Linked DNA regions of Caenorhabditis elegans. The protein of the gene in region 2 purifies or fractionates together with the protein of the main gene of each other region. This does not show direct contact. Each region holds a gene or a part of one and is shown on either strand. Other genes may lie near its edges.

Region 1 (3,252 bases), on a different chromosome or scaffold from region 2:
GAAGCCGCGCCACGTGGCACGCGAAATGTCCCCGCTTCGCCGCGTAGGTCAAATTGAGAAAATCGCGATTTCCGAGAGCTTTTGGCGGAATTTCAATGAAAATTTGTTGCCCTTTTTCAGTGATAACGATGCTTTTCGGCGGTGTCCACTGAAATTCCGGAATACTCGACGACGTGGCATCCACAGCCTTTTGAAGATGATGCAGAGGATGTTTAACGTCGAATTCTGTCCAGAAATCGAGATTTTTGTACTGAAAATTCAAATTTTGGCCTAAAATTTCACTAATTAAAGGGAAAACCTGAATTTTCGGGCCATTCTTCGAGGTTTCCAGCACATTTTTTATTTTTTGAGCGATTTGACGCTGCTTTTCGATGAGTTTTTTGTTGGATTTTGGAGCGGTGTCTTCGCACTGAAAAATATAACAATTTTTTTGCTTGAAAATCGATTTTTTTGGGATTTACCAATAATTTGAAGGCGTTCGACATTGGGAGCACATCTCCGTCTGTCTCCATCTCTGCAAATAGAATTTATTAGTATTTTGCTCCCAAAAATCAATTTTTCAAGCTAAAACCAATTTTGAAAACCAATTTATACACTAGAAATGACAAATATTCAGTTTTTCATTTAAATTTCACAAAATTACATTCAAAAACTAGAAAAAATCATTGAAAACTCGAGATTTAAGGCTAAAATCAACAAAAAATAAAATAGAGTGTCTCTGTCGATTTACGATAAACAACACGTTACTGCGGGATTTCGGAGTGTCGTTTGCCTGCTTTCGGCGGAGTTTCAAAAGCAGAAATTGAGTGGAAAACGGGGAAAACAAGGGAAATGACAGATTAGAACACAAAAAAAGGATTTAAAATGAAAAACTGCAGAGTTTTGGGACATTTTTCAGGGAAAAACACAGATTAAGACGTGTTTAACGTCTGTTTTCGAAATAAATTTTTGAAAATAAAGTCTAAAATGTTTTTTTAACTTTGAAACGATCATATTTCTAAATTTTTAGAGCTAAAAAACAATTTTTTATGAAAAAACATGTTAAAAATCAAATTTAAAAGTTCCTACAGTACCCCTTATTGCTCGTCAATTAAAAGGCCAAGTACGCAAAAGTACGCAACCTGCCTGCTGCCGCCAAACTTTGAATTTCAAATTATTTCCCTCCAAAAAATCAATTTTCCAGTTTTCTACGAATTTTCATCAAATATTCATGAAATTTCCAATGTTATTTTTTGTTTTCTTTTCATCACAAACTCTTTCGAATTCTCTGATGAATTTTAAATTCTGTAGTTTCTTCTTCTCTCCCTCTCGCCGATTCAGCTGGAATTTATTTCTAGAAAGAAAAGCGAAAAAAGATGCGAATTCACTGAATTTATAGGCTTGTTTTTGGACCGATACGCACACACACACACACAAAGCTATCCATCATTTTAATTAATTCTTTTCGTTTCGTTCTCCATTTTCTCTCAGTTTTCTCGTTTCCGTTCATTCAAATTTGTTTCAGCAAGCTCCCGCGACGCAAAAATGAAGTTCCTGACATCAATTCTCGGCTCTGAACGTGAGTTTTACCTTAAAAACCCCAAAAATCAGATTTTTCCATTTGGTCTGCTACACTACAAACTACAAGGTTCGATTTAGCAGACCAATAGGATTGTGAAGAGATTTGGTCTGCTAGACTACAAACTACACAATTCGATTTAGCAGACCATTATCGGGAAAATCCTATTAAAACATGCATTTTCGCAATTTTTATTTAATTTTTATACTTAATCTTAATTTTAAGTGCAAAATTGATAGTTTTAAATGATTTTTTCCATTTTTTTTTGCTAAAATTCGTATAAAAATCGGTCCTTTCTTTGAAATTTAGTCGATTTTCGCTCAAATTAAATGATTTTAGACTTTTAACTAAGTTAAAAACACCTTAAAATCACTAAAACTAACATTTTCCAAATAACCGGACTTTAATATCAATGAAAAACCGCCAGAAAACTCGAAATTCAGTGGGTCTGCCAGGCTACAAACTACAAAGAATATTTAGCAGACCAGAGCGTTTTTCATTGAAAAATAGGCAATTTTCGCTTAAAATAAAGCTTTTTTGACCTAAATTTCTTCAAAATTACCCTTTTTCAGGTGATCGTGCAGCCAAAAAGCGTCGAAGTCTCGAAGTGAACCTGCACCGCCTCGAAGAGAAGGCTTTCCTCTTGGAAATGGAGCTCGAAGAGACCAGAAGACAAAAAGTTGGCTATTTTCGAGCGTTTAAGCATGATTAATTCAATTTTTTCAGGAAAAAGTGATCAAAGAGCTCCGCAACGGGCTCCCAGTTCGCCACGTGTCAACAGTCAGCGTCTCGTCGACCGATATGTCCTTCAACACGGATTCCTCGAATGTATGCACCTTTTTAAATCGATTTTCGCATTAAAAACGTTATTTTTCAGGTCACCGATCATTATTGTGGACTTCCGATCGATTCGAGCACGCCGAAGGAGACCTCTAAGAGAGATTTTCAGCAAAAACACGAGCAATATGCCGAAGAAGAGGGGGAGCGTGCAAAATGGCAAAGCTCTGCGAAACTCGGCGAGAAATCGGAAAAATCAGAGAAATCTATCGAAAAGTACTAATTTGATCTACTAATTTTTATTCGCACTTTTAATTTTCTTGTCAAATTTGTGTAAAAAGCGATTTTCAGAGTAATGAAGGCTTACAGATGACTACAAACTACATTTTTCGTGGAGTTGCAATGCAGAAGATATGGGTCTGCTAGGCTACAAACTACAAAATGATGTTTAGCAGACCAATCCAATTTCTGATAAATTTTGGTCTGCTAGACTACAAACTACAAAAAAAACATTAGCAGACCAACGAATTTCTAAAAATTTGGGTCTGCTAGACTACAAACTACAAAAAATATTTAACAGTCCCAACCAGTTTCTAATAAAATTTGGTCTGCTAGACTACAAACTACAAAATGATATTTAGCAGACCACTGCTGCTTTTTTGGCATTTTTCCACATAAATTTGGCAAAATCATGATTTTTAATAGAAATAAAACATTGTGGGACTTTAAAAACGATTTTAATAAATTAAATAATATGATAATGCGCCTTTAAATACACTTTCCGCCGTCCTGGATCCACATTGAATAGGTGTCTCAAAAAGAAGACGCCTGAGCCGAACCAGTTCTCTTCCAGGGACCAATCCTGGCGAATTAGGGATTGAAAGCTTGTTTTGATGGTTTCTCTGAAAGTCGTAACT
Region 2 (8,009 bases):
GAGAGATTCGGTCACTCGAATCCATCATCTCGGACGCTCGAGAAAACACACACGAAAAAATGCTCATCAGGTGTTACAAGTTCTTTGTGCAATCAGGCGTCTGTGTCCAATATTCTTAGAGGGGGTAAAAGTGTGTGTAAAGTAACGGGAGCAACAAAAAAAATCCATAAAATCAGGAGAAATTACAAGAAGAAATGCATGAATGTAGACCGGCGAGTGTGGAGAAAAATGAAAAACGAGGAGAAGTGGAGAGGGAGACATCTGGAAATTGCCGATTTTAATTGAAAATTCGGAGGAAAAATGAAAAAAGTTGAAAGAAAGTGCATTTTTTCATTCAAATTTTGACTTAAAATTGCGATCTTGGGTCTTGAAACGAAAGAAAGTTTTCCGTTACCGTAACCCGTTCTACTAAAGGGGCACGGGTCTCGCCGCGATGAAAAGTTATGGTAGCTTTTTTTCAGAATTTTTGGGATTCTCTTGATTTTAAATGATTTTTTAAAAGTTTTTTTCAATAGATATTTTCAAAAAACTACCAAAAACTACCAATACGTGAACACAAAATTCTGAGAATGCATCCTGCACAACATATTTGACGCGCAAAATATCAAAACTACAGTAATTCTTTAAATGACTACTGTAGTGCTTGTGTCGATTTACGCGAGCGATTTTTGAAATGAAACTTAATTTTAATACTCTATCGTTGAATAAAAAAATATTTTAATTCATTTCAAAAAATCGAGCCCTTAAATCGACCAACAGTAGTCATTTAAAAAGGATTACTGTAGTTTTCGCTACGAGATATTTTGCGCGTCAAATATGTTGTGCAATACGCATTCTCAGAATATTGTGCTACTGTAATATATTTGTGTTTCTTATTCAGAAAAAACCAATATTATTAAATTTTCGAATGCATTTTTTTAACTAAGAATTATTCAAAAAACATGCCTAAATTCTAAAAATAGAAAAAAATCCGCAGCAATGAAAGTTTGAAATTACAGTATTCTTTAAAGGCGCGCACCCGTTTGCATTTCACTAAAATTTGTCGCGTCGAGACCAGGTAGTGTGTTTTTTTGCGAAAAATCGCTAAATTGCCCGTAATAGTAGTAGTAATTCGATCGTACCAGGACCCCATTTTAACTTGAATTTACTCGAGAAAATAGGAGTCTAAGCCTGAAAAAAAAACAAATAAATACATTCAATATATATATACACAAAATCTTAGAAAGCTGTTCTTTCGAAAAGACGGCGCGGTTAATTGAGAGTTTCCGAATGCGTCCAGATGCAAAATAATTGGATGTTGGAGATTTATTGACTTCCTTTTTTGTTTTTTTATTCCCCATTTCGAGGGGGGAGAAGAAAGTCAATAAACTGCGTTTATAGAATTCTCGTTTTAATATTAAAATTTAATGTCGAAAATAATTAGATTTTTATTCCAAAATCGCCTTTAATTTAACGACAAATAAATATATTCCAGAATATCCTTTGGAATTTGAATTCCCTCGGTTTTTCGCAGAGAAGGATTATCAGTGGAGCGTGATTGCGGCAATTCCTAAAAACAATTTTTAATTTGGTTCGCAGAGGCGTTAAAACGTTTTTTTAGCGATTATTAAGCCTAGGAAAGTATATAATTTTAAGAATTTTAAGTTTTTCATCAAATAATTATTGAAATTTAATTTTTTTTTTCATATTTTTAAATGATCACTACGGGTTTCCCTGTTCAAAAGTGTTTTTTTTTAATTAAAAAAAATTGTTAAATGTATCGATTCTTGTGCAATTTTATTTAATACCGCGTCCTTTCCTTACCACATTACACCGGTCACCCCCCGTAGACCGTCTCATTTGCCCTTTTGTCTAACCTGCTGCGTCTCTTGTTCTTTTTCGTGTAGCGCGGGAAAACAGAATTCAAAACCCGTCATTCTTTGAGAAACTCTTTACCGTTAAATCCTTTTTGAAAATCTTAATTATCTTCCAGAAAACAACGGGATATGACAACCGATATCGCTCCAGGTAAGCTTTTTTCCGAGATTTTCATTTTTTCAATATTTAATAAAAAATAAATAATTAAAATAATTTCCCATTTCAGAAAGAGACCTGCAAGGTCGCTTTTGCTCACTCCGGCGAATCGGCGAAGGAACGTACGGAGTCGTGTTCAAGGCGATCCACGTGCGTGACAACGTGAAATGCGCTCTCAAAATGATTCGCACCGATCGCGACGAGGAAGGCATTCCGAGCACGTGCCTTCGTGAAATTTCGTGTATAAAAGACCTTCAGCACGATAATATTGTGACACTTTTCGATATTATCTACGCAAGTGAGGCTTTTTTTGCTGATTAATTTGAAATTTGAAGTTTCAAATTTTAAATTTTAAAAAATTCATGAGACTCATAATACTGGAAAATCGGTGTGAAAATTGCTAAAAATTGATAAAAAGATATAAAAATTTTGGTTCAATCTGTAAGTAATATTTTTTTTGCGGAAAAGTTCGAAAAATCCCCTTTTTTAAGGTATTTTTCTAGGATTTCTAAAAATAAATGTTATTTTCAGATTGAACGACCTTACATTTTATGTTATTTTTTGATTATTCAAGTGAAAAAAATCGAAAAATTGAGAAAAAAGTAGAAAATCCCCTAGATTTATGAAAAATATGTTGATTTTGATGAGAAAAAAAGAATTTGTGGCCAAAATATTAGAGAAATGGCTGAAAATGCGATTTTTTCCCACAAAAAATCGAAAAACTACTAAAATGTTAAAATTGGTGTAGTCGAATTTTTAAAATTGCTTTATTAGACTCAAAATTGTCTGAAAAACCGAATTTCATACTGCTTGAAAACTTCTCAAAAAAAATGTTATGACGGCTCAAAAAAATGGCCTAAAATTCGTTAAAATTTGAAATTTGACCGATTTGCCAAGCGGTTGGAAACTATTTTTTTTTTGAAATCACCGTCAAATTTTGAGCATACGATGTAATTATCTTGCATTTTCAACTCGATTTAGGTATTTTAAAGTCGATGGACTGCGAGATTTGATTTTAAAAATTAAAAAATCTTTTCTCACCGTCCATCGACTTTAAAATACCTAAATCGAGCTGAAAACGCAAGATAATTACATTGTATACTCAAAATTTGACGGTGATTTCAAAAAAGTTAGTTTCTAGCCGCTTGACAAGTCGGGCAAATTTCAAATTTTAACTAATTTCAGGCCATTTTTTGAACTATAATAACATTTTTTTTGAGAAGTTTTCAAGCAGTATGAAATTCAGTGTTTTTAGGCAATTTTGGGTCTAATAAAGCAATAAAAAATTCGACTACACCACCTTTAAGTTTTAAATTTAAAACAATTAATTAATCAATTTCCAGACAGCAAACTCTACATGGTATTCGAATTTATCGATCGAGATCTGAAGAATCTTCTGGAAATGCTTGAGCCAACGAATAGTGTGCTTCCGCCAAACTATGTGAAGTCATTCATGTGGCAACTTCTATCAGCTCTATCGTATTGTCATCTCCGACGGATTGTTCACCGTGATCTGAAGCCTCAGAATATTCTGGTTTCAGATTCTGGAGTCATCAAAATTGCGGATTTCGGATTGGCAAGGTCAAAAAATGTTCTATAGATGTTATTTATGCTGCTGATACCGAATATTTTGATTTGAAAAAAAATTTTTTTTTTAAATTTCCTTTTATTATTTTTCAGGGAGGGTAGAGTTTTTGGGTATTTTGCTTAAATAGACTAAAACCGGTCCAAAACCAAAATTTTTTTATGACCGGTCAAAATTTCGAAAAAAAGAGCCAAATTTTGCTAAAATCTGAAATTTCGCACACTTTTCTTTGTCACAGCCGCTGGATTTTAGTTTTTCTGAAATTATCACCCTTCAATCCTTATTTTGGTAGATTATCTCGCGGAAATTCGTTTATTGAAACACATTTTGAGTCGATAGGCATCCAATTTTGATCATTTTTGGATGCCTATAGGTCTAAAAATTGTCTCAATCAACCAATTTCCGCGAGATAATCTACCAAAATAAGGATTAAAGGATGATAATTTTAGAAAAACTAGAATCCAGCGGCTGTGACAAAGAAAAGTGTGCGAAATTTCAAATTTTCGATTTTAGCAAAATTTGCCTCCTTTTTTTTCGAAATTCTGACCCGCCATAAAAAATTTTTGGAATTTTTTTGTGAAGTCTCTTTATGAAATTCGGTGGTTTTGGACCAGTTTTAGTATATTTAAGCAAAATACACACAAACTCTACTCCCCATTTAATTTATTAAAATCCAAAAATTCACCTATACACGTGTATTCAGCTCGACCAACGCATCGAAAATTTTCGAAAAAGGCGTGAAAACATATTTGAATTCGCCAAGAGGAATTTCACCGCAGCGCATGCAAAAATGTCTGCATTTGCGCGAGACGGTGTTTGCACAAATTACACCGAATGGTCGAGCTGAAAACACGTGCTATAGTGTTAACTTCAAACGAAAATATTTGGAAGATAACCGTGCCGCAGGTGTGGATTTACGAGATTCATATTTTTCATCCATTTGTATCTGATTTTCACCGCGATTTTTCTGATTTTCCGATGTTTTACATTGAAATTCTGGTGATTTCCACTAATGTATGATTTTTTTATTAATTAAAACAACCAAAATTTTTACATTTTATTTCCTTTCATTAGTAAAAATTGAAAAATTAATGAAAATCACAAGATTTTCAATGTAAAACAACAAAAAAAAATGAAAATCGGGAAATTTGGTATGGACATTTTATAAAAATAGATGAAAAATATTAATCTCGTAAATCCACACGATTATCATGCAAAATGTGTCGTTTGAATCTAACACTAGGTGGATTTTCGGATTTTCAAAAATTAATATAAAATCAGGGATTTTTTTTTGAATTTTTCACATTTATATTCGGTATCAGGAAAATTTTAATAAGGGGTTTGAATTTCCTAATCAAATTTTTTGTTAATTCCAGAAATTTCTCGTTCCCCAGTCGAAACTATACTCACGAGGTGGTAACTCTTTGGTATCGTCCGCCAGAGGTATTTTCAACATTCTGAAATTATTTTATTCAATTATTTAATTTTATTTAAAATAATATTTCCAGATTCTGCTCGGCTCGCAACGTTATTCAACATCACTGGATATGTGGTCGCTGGGATGTATATTCTCCGAAATTGCATCGAATAAGCCTCTGTTTCCAGGCGAATGCGAGATTTCACAGCTATTCAAGATATTTGAAATTGTTGGAACACCAAATATTAAGGTTTATACCGATTTGGAGAGGAAAATTCGAATTTAGAGTCCCAGAAGTACACTGTGAATAATTTGTGTTTAGAAAAACTGAAAATCTCTGAAAATATTCGATTTATGAGATTTAATTTTGAAAATAATTCATCACATTTCAATATCACTCATATGCGATATTTTGGCGATTTTAAATACGGCACAGGGTCTCGAAACGAGTGGTTTTGTGAAATGTGAAAACGTGTGCGCCTTTGAGGAGTACTGTATTTCTCAACTCCTGGGTTTTGCAGAATTTTTAAATATGGGATTTCGAGAGAAGCGCGAGATGAACTTTAAAAATCTAAAAAAATTTTTTTTTTCAGAAATCTTTCGCCTCCCCGAAATTTAGTGAAAAACTGAATTAAACCATAGAATACGTTTTTTCCGATTTTCAACAAAAAAATCGAGTATTCGGAAACGAAAAATAGTTTAAAATTTTGGACTTTTTCTTCGTTTTAGAGGAAAATAATCGAAATTTAGGTTTTATATCTTCAAATTTCGCGATTTTTGTTCCACTGAAATAATGTTTTTTTTTAATAATAAAATACAAATATATTACGAGAACATAAAATTCTGAAAATGCGTATTTCGCAACCTATTTGACGCGCAAAATATCTCGTAGCGAAAACTATAGTAATTCTTTAAATGACTACTGTAGCGCTTGTGTCGATTTACGGGCTCGATTTTTAAAATGAATTAAAATAATTTATTAATTTAAATAACGATAGAATATTAAAATTAAGTTTCATTTCAAAAATCGAGTTCCCGTAAATCGACACAAGCCCTACAGTAGTGGTTTAAAGAGTTACTGTAGTTTTCGCTACGAGATATTTTGTCAAATATGTTGCTCAATGTACGCATTCTCAGAATTCTGTGTTACCGTAATATATTTGTGTTTTATTATTTCAAAAAAAAAAAACAAAAATGGCGAAGTGTGAAAATATTATTCGGAAAATTGAATTGTTTTTCTTCCAAAAAAAAACATAAATTTCGATTATTTTCCTTTAAAAAGAAGAAAAAGTCCAAAATTTTCAACTCTTTTTGAAAAGATTTTTTTGTTGAAAAATCGGGAAAAAAAGCGTTTTATTTGAAAAATTAAATTTTCTCGAATACACTCTACACGGATTTCTGGCTTTCCTCATAAATTGAAATGGAAGAGTTTGCCGAACTAGACCATTTTGGCTCGGCCATATCTCGGGTAGATTTACGGTGCGTTGCGTGTCGCGTCGCAGCTCGATTTTAGTTGTAAAACTAAATGTATTTGTCCGTGTGAAGTACACGACTTTCCCACGGTGATTGTCGATGGAGCGCGAAAAATTTAATGAGGAAGGCCAGAACCCCGTGACTTTAAATTATTCAAAAAACTTTTAAATTCGAATAATTTTTGCAGAGCTGGCCAGGCGTCGACTCGTTTCCCCACTACAAGGCAGTCTTTCCACAGTGGCCGGTGAATTTGAAGAAGCTCGAAGAAACATCATGCCTGACTGGAAATGGTCTTGACGTGCTTCGTGAGATACTTCGTTATCCACCGGAGCGACGTCTCACCGCGAAAGGTGCTCTCTCTCATCGCTACTTTCTACAGAACGGTTTCACCCAAAACCGGCCGAGTGTCACTGATTTGATGAAGGATATCCGAGCGCAGAACAGGGTAAAGTTACTGGAATATTTGGATATTTTTTTAATGAAAAAAAATTATTTCAGACGCCACCGCTGCTGAACAATCATCAGGAGAAGTCAATCTTCTAATATATCATGTCCTCCATAACCTAAACATCGTGTACTATGTCCTCTCTTTTTACCGAGTCTTTCCTCTTCAAGGGTGTCATCGAACGAAATTATCGATTTTTTTGGGTTTTTTCAGAGAAATTCAAAAAAATCGAAAAAAAAAGCGCAATTTTTTAAATCAAATTTTGTTCATGTTGATAAGAAAAACACATGAGAAAACATATATTGTTCTACTAAAAAAGAAAAAAATTGCAAAAAATTGAGCTATTTTTGAAAAATCGGAAAAAATTGTTTTATTCAAAAAATTCAATTTTTCTAGGTTTTTATCATTTTCGTGAGAAAAAAAACATATTTTTCTACTAAAAAAATTATTAATTTTTTTCGTTTATTTTAGTGAGAAAAAACGTAAGAAAACATAATTTTCTTCTGAAAAAAATTACAAAAATTGTAATATATTTTTCGACAAATCGGAAATTTTTTTTTCCAAAAATCAATTTTTTTCAAAAAATCGGGAAAAAAAGTTTTATCTAAAAAATTAAATTTTTTCCCAAATTTTGTTGAGAGAAAACAGATTTTTCAACTAAAAAATGGTCAAAATGTTCAGAATTAAAAAAAAAATTTTTTCAGAAATTTGATTATTTTAGGAAAAATTAAAGTTGAAAAAAATTATCAAATTTCGATTTTAGAGAAAATCGAGAATTTTCGCTTTTCTGATTTTTTTTTGAGAAAAATAGCTTCAAATTTTGGTAATTTTTTTCAATTTTTGAAAAAATTACATGTTTTCTTATGCTTTTTTCTGATCCAAAAACATTTTTTTTTCAATTTTTGAAATTTCTCTGAAAAACTCAAAAAAAATTCGATGTCTCCCTTGCTCTCCACCCACTCTTTCTGCTTCATCGTTCATTTTGTATCATAATTTTCCCACCTATTTTGCTCCAGACGTTTTATCGCATTATTATTTTTATTATTATTATTTTGCTCCAAGGGAATTTCTACAAA

The links. The genes of interacting proteins can lie anywhere in the genome.
Region 1: the proteins of cdk-2 (region 2) and Y51H7C.3 fractionate together in Caenorhabditis elegans (co-fractionation; one large-scale study listed by BioGRID). This does not show direct contact.

Annotation. Positions count from the first base shown.
Region 1 is NC_003280.10:1,436,986-1,440,237, forward strand, and holds Y51H7C.3 (Lzipper-MIP1 domain-containing protein), read left to right. Parts: upstream 1-1,504; 5' UTR 1,505-1,524; coding exon 1,525-1,558; intron 1,559-2,130; coding exon 2,131-2,237; intron 2,238-2,284; coding exon 2,285-2,386; intron 2,387-2,435; coding exon 2,436-2,618; 3' UTR 2,619-2,712; downstream 2,713-3,252. Other genes in the region: nol-6 (Nucleolar protein 6), read right to left, coding at 1-250, 299-409, 462-512; Y51H7C.12 (Nucleotide-diphospho-sugar transferase domain-containing protein), read right to left, coding at 3,081-3,237.
Region 2 is NC_003279.8:3,408,040-3,416,048, forward strand, and holds the start of cdk-2 (Cyclin-dependent kinase 2), read left to right. Parts: upstream 1-1,973; 5' UTR 1,974-1,985; coding exon 1,986-2,007; intron 2,008-2,083; coding exon 2,084-2,311; exon of another isoform or gene 2,312-3,356; coding exon 3,357-3,594; intron 3,595-4,972; exon of another isoform or gene 4,973-4,974; coding exon 4,975-5,041; intron 5,042-5,106; coding exon 5,107-5,265; intron 5,266-6,675; coding exon 6,676-6,933; intron 6,934-6,986; coding exon 6,987-7,031; 3' UTR 7,032-8,009. UniProt on the Caenorhabditis elegans protein: Serine/threonine-protein kinase which, in association with cye-1, regulates proliferation, quiescent state and cell fate during the development of several cell lineages.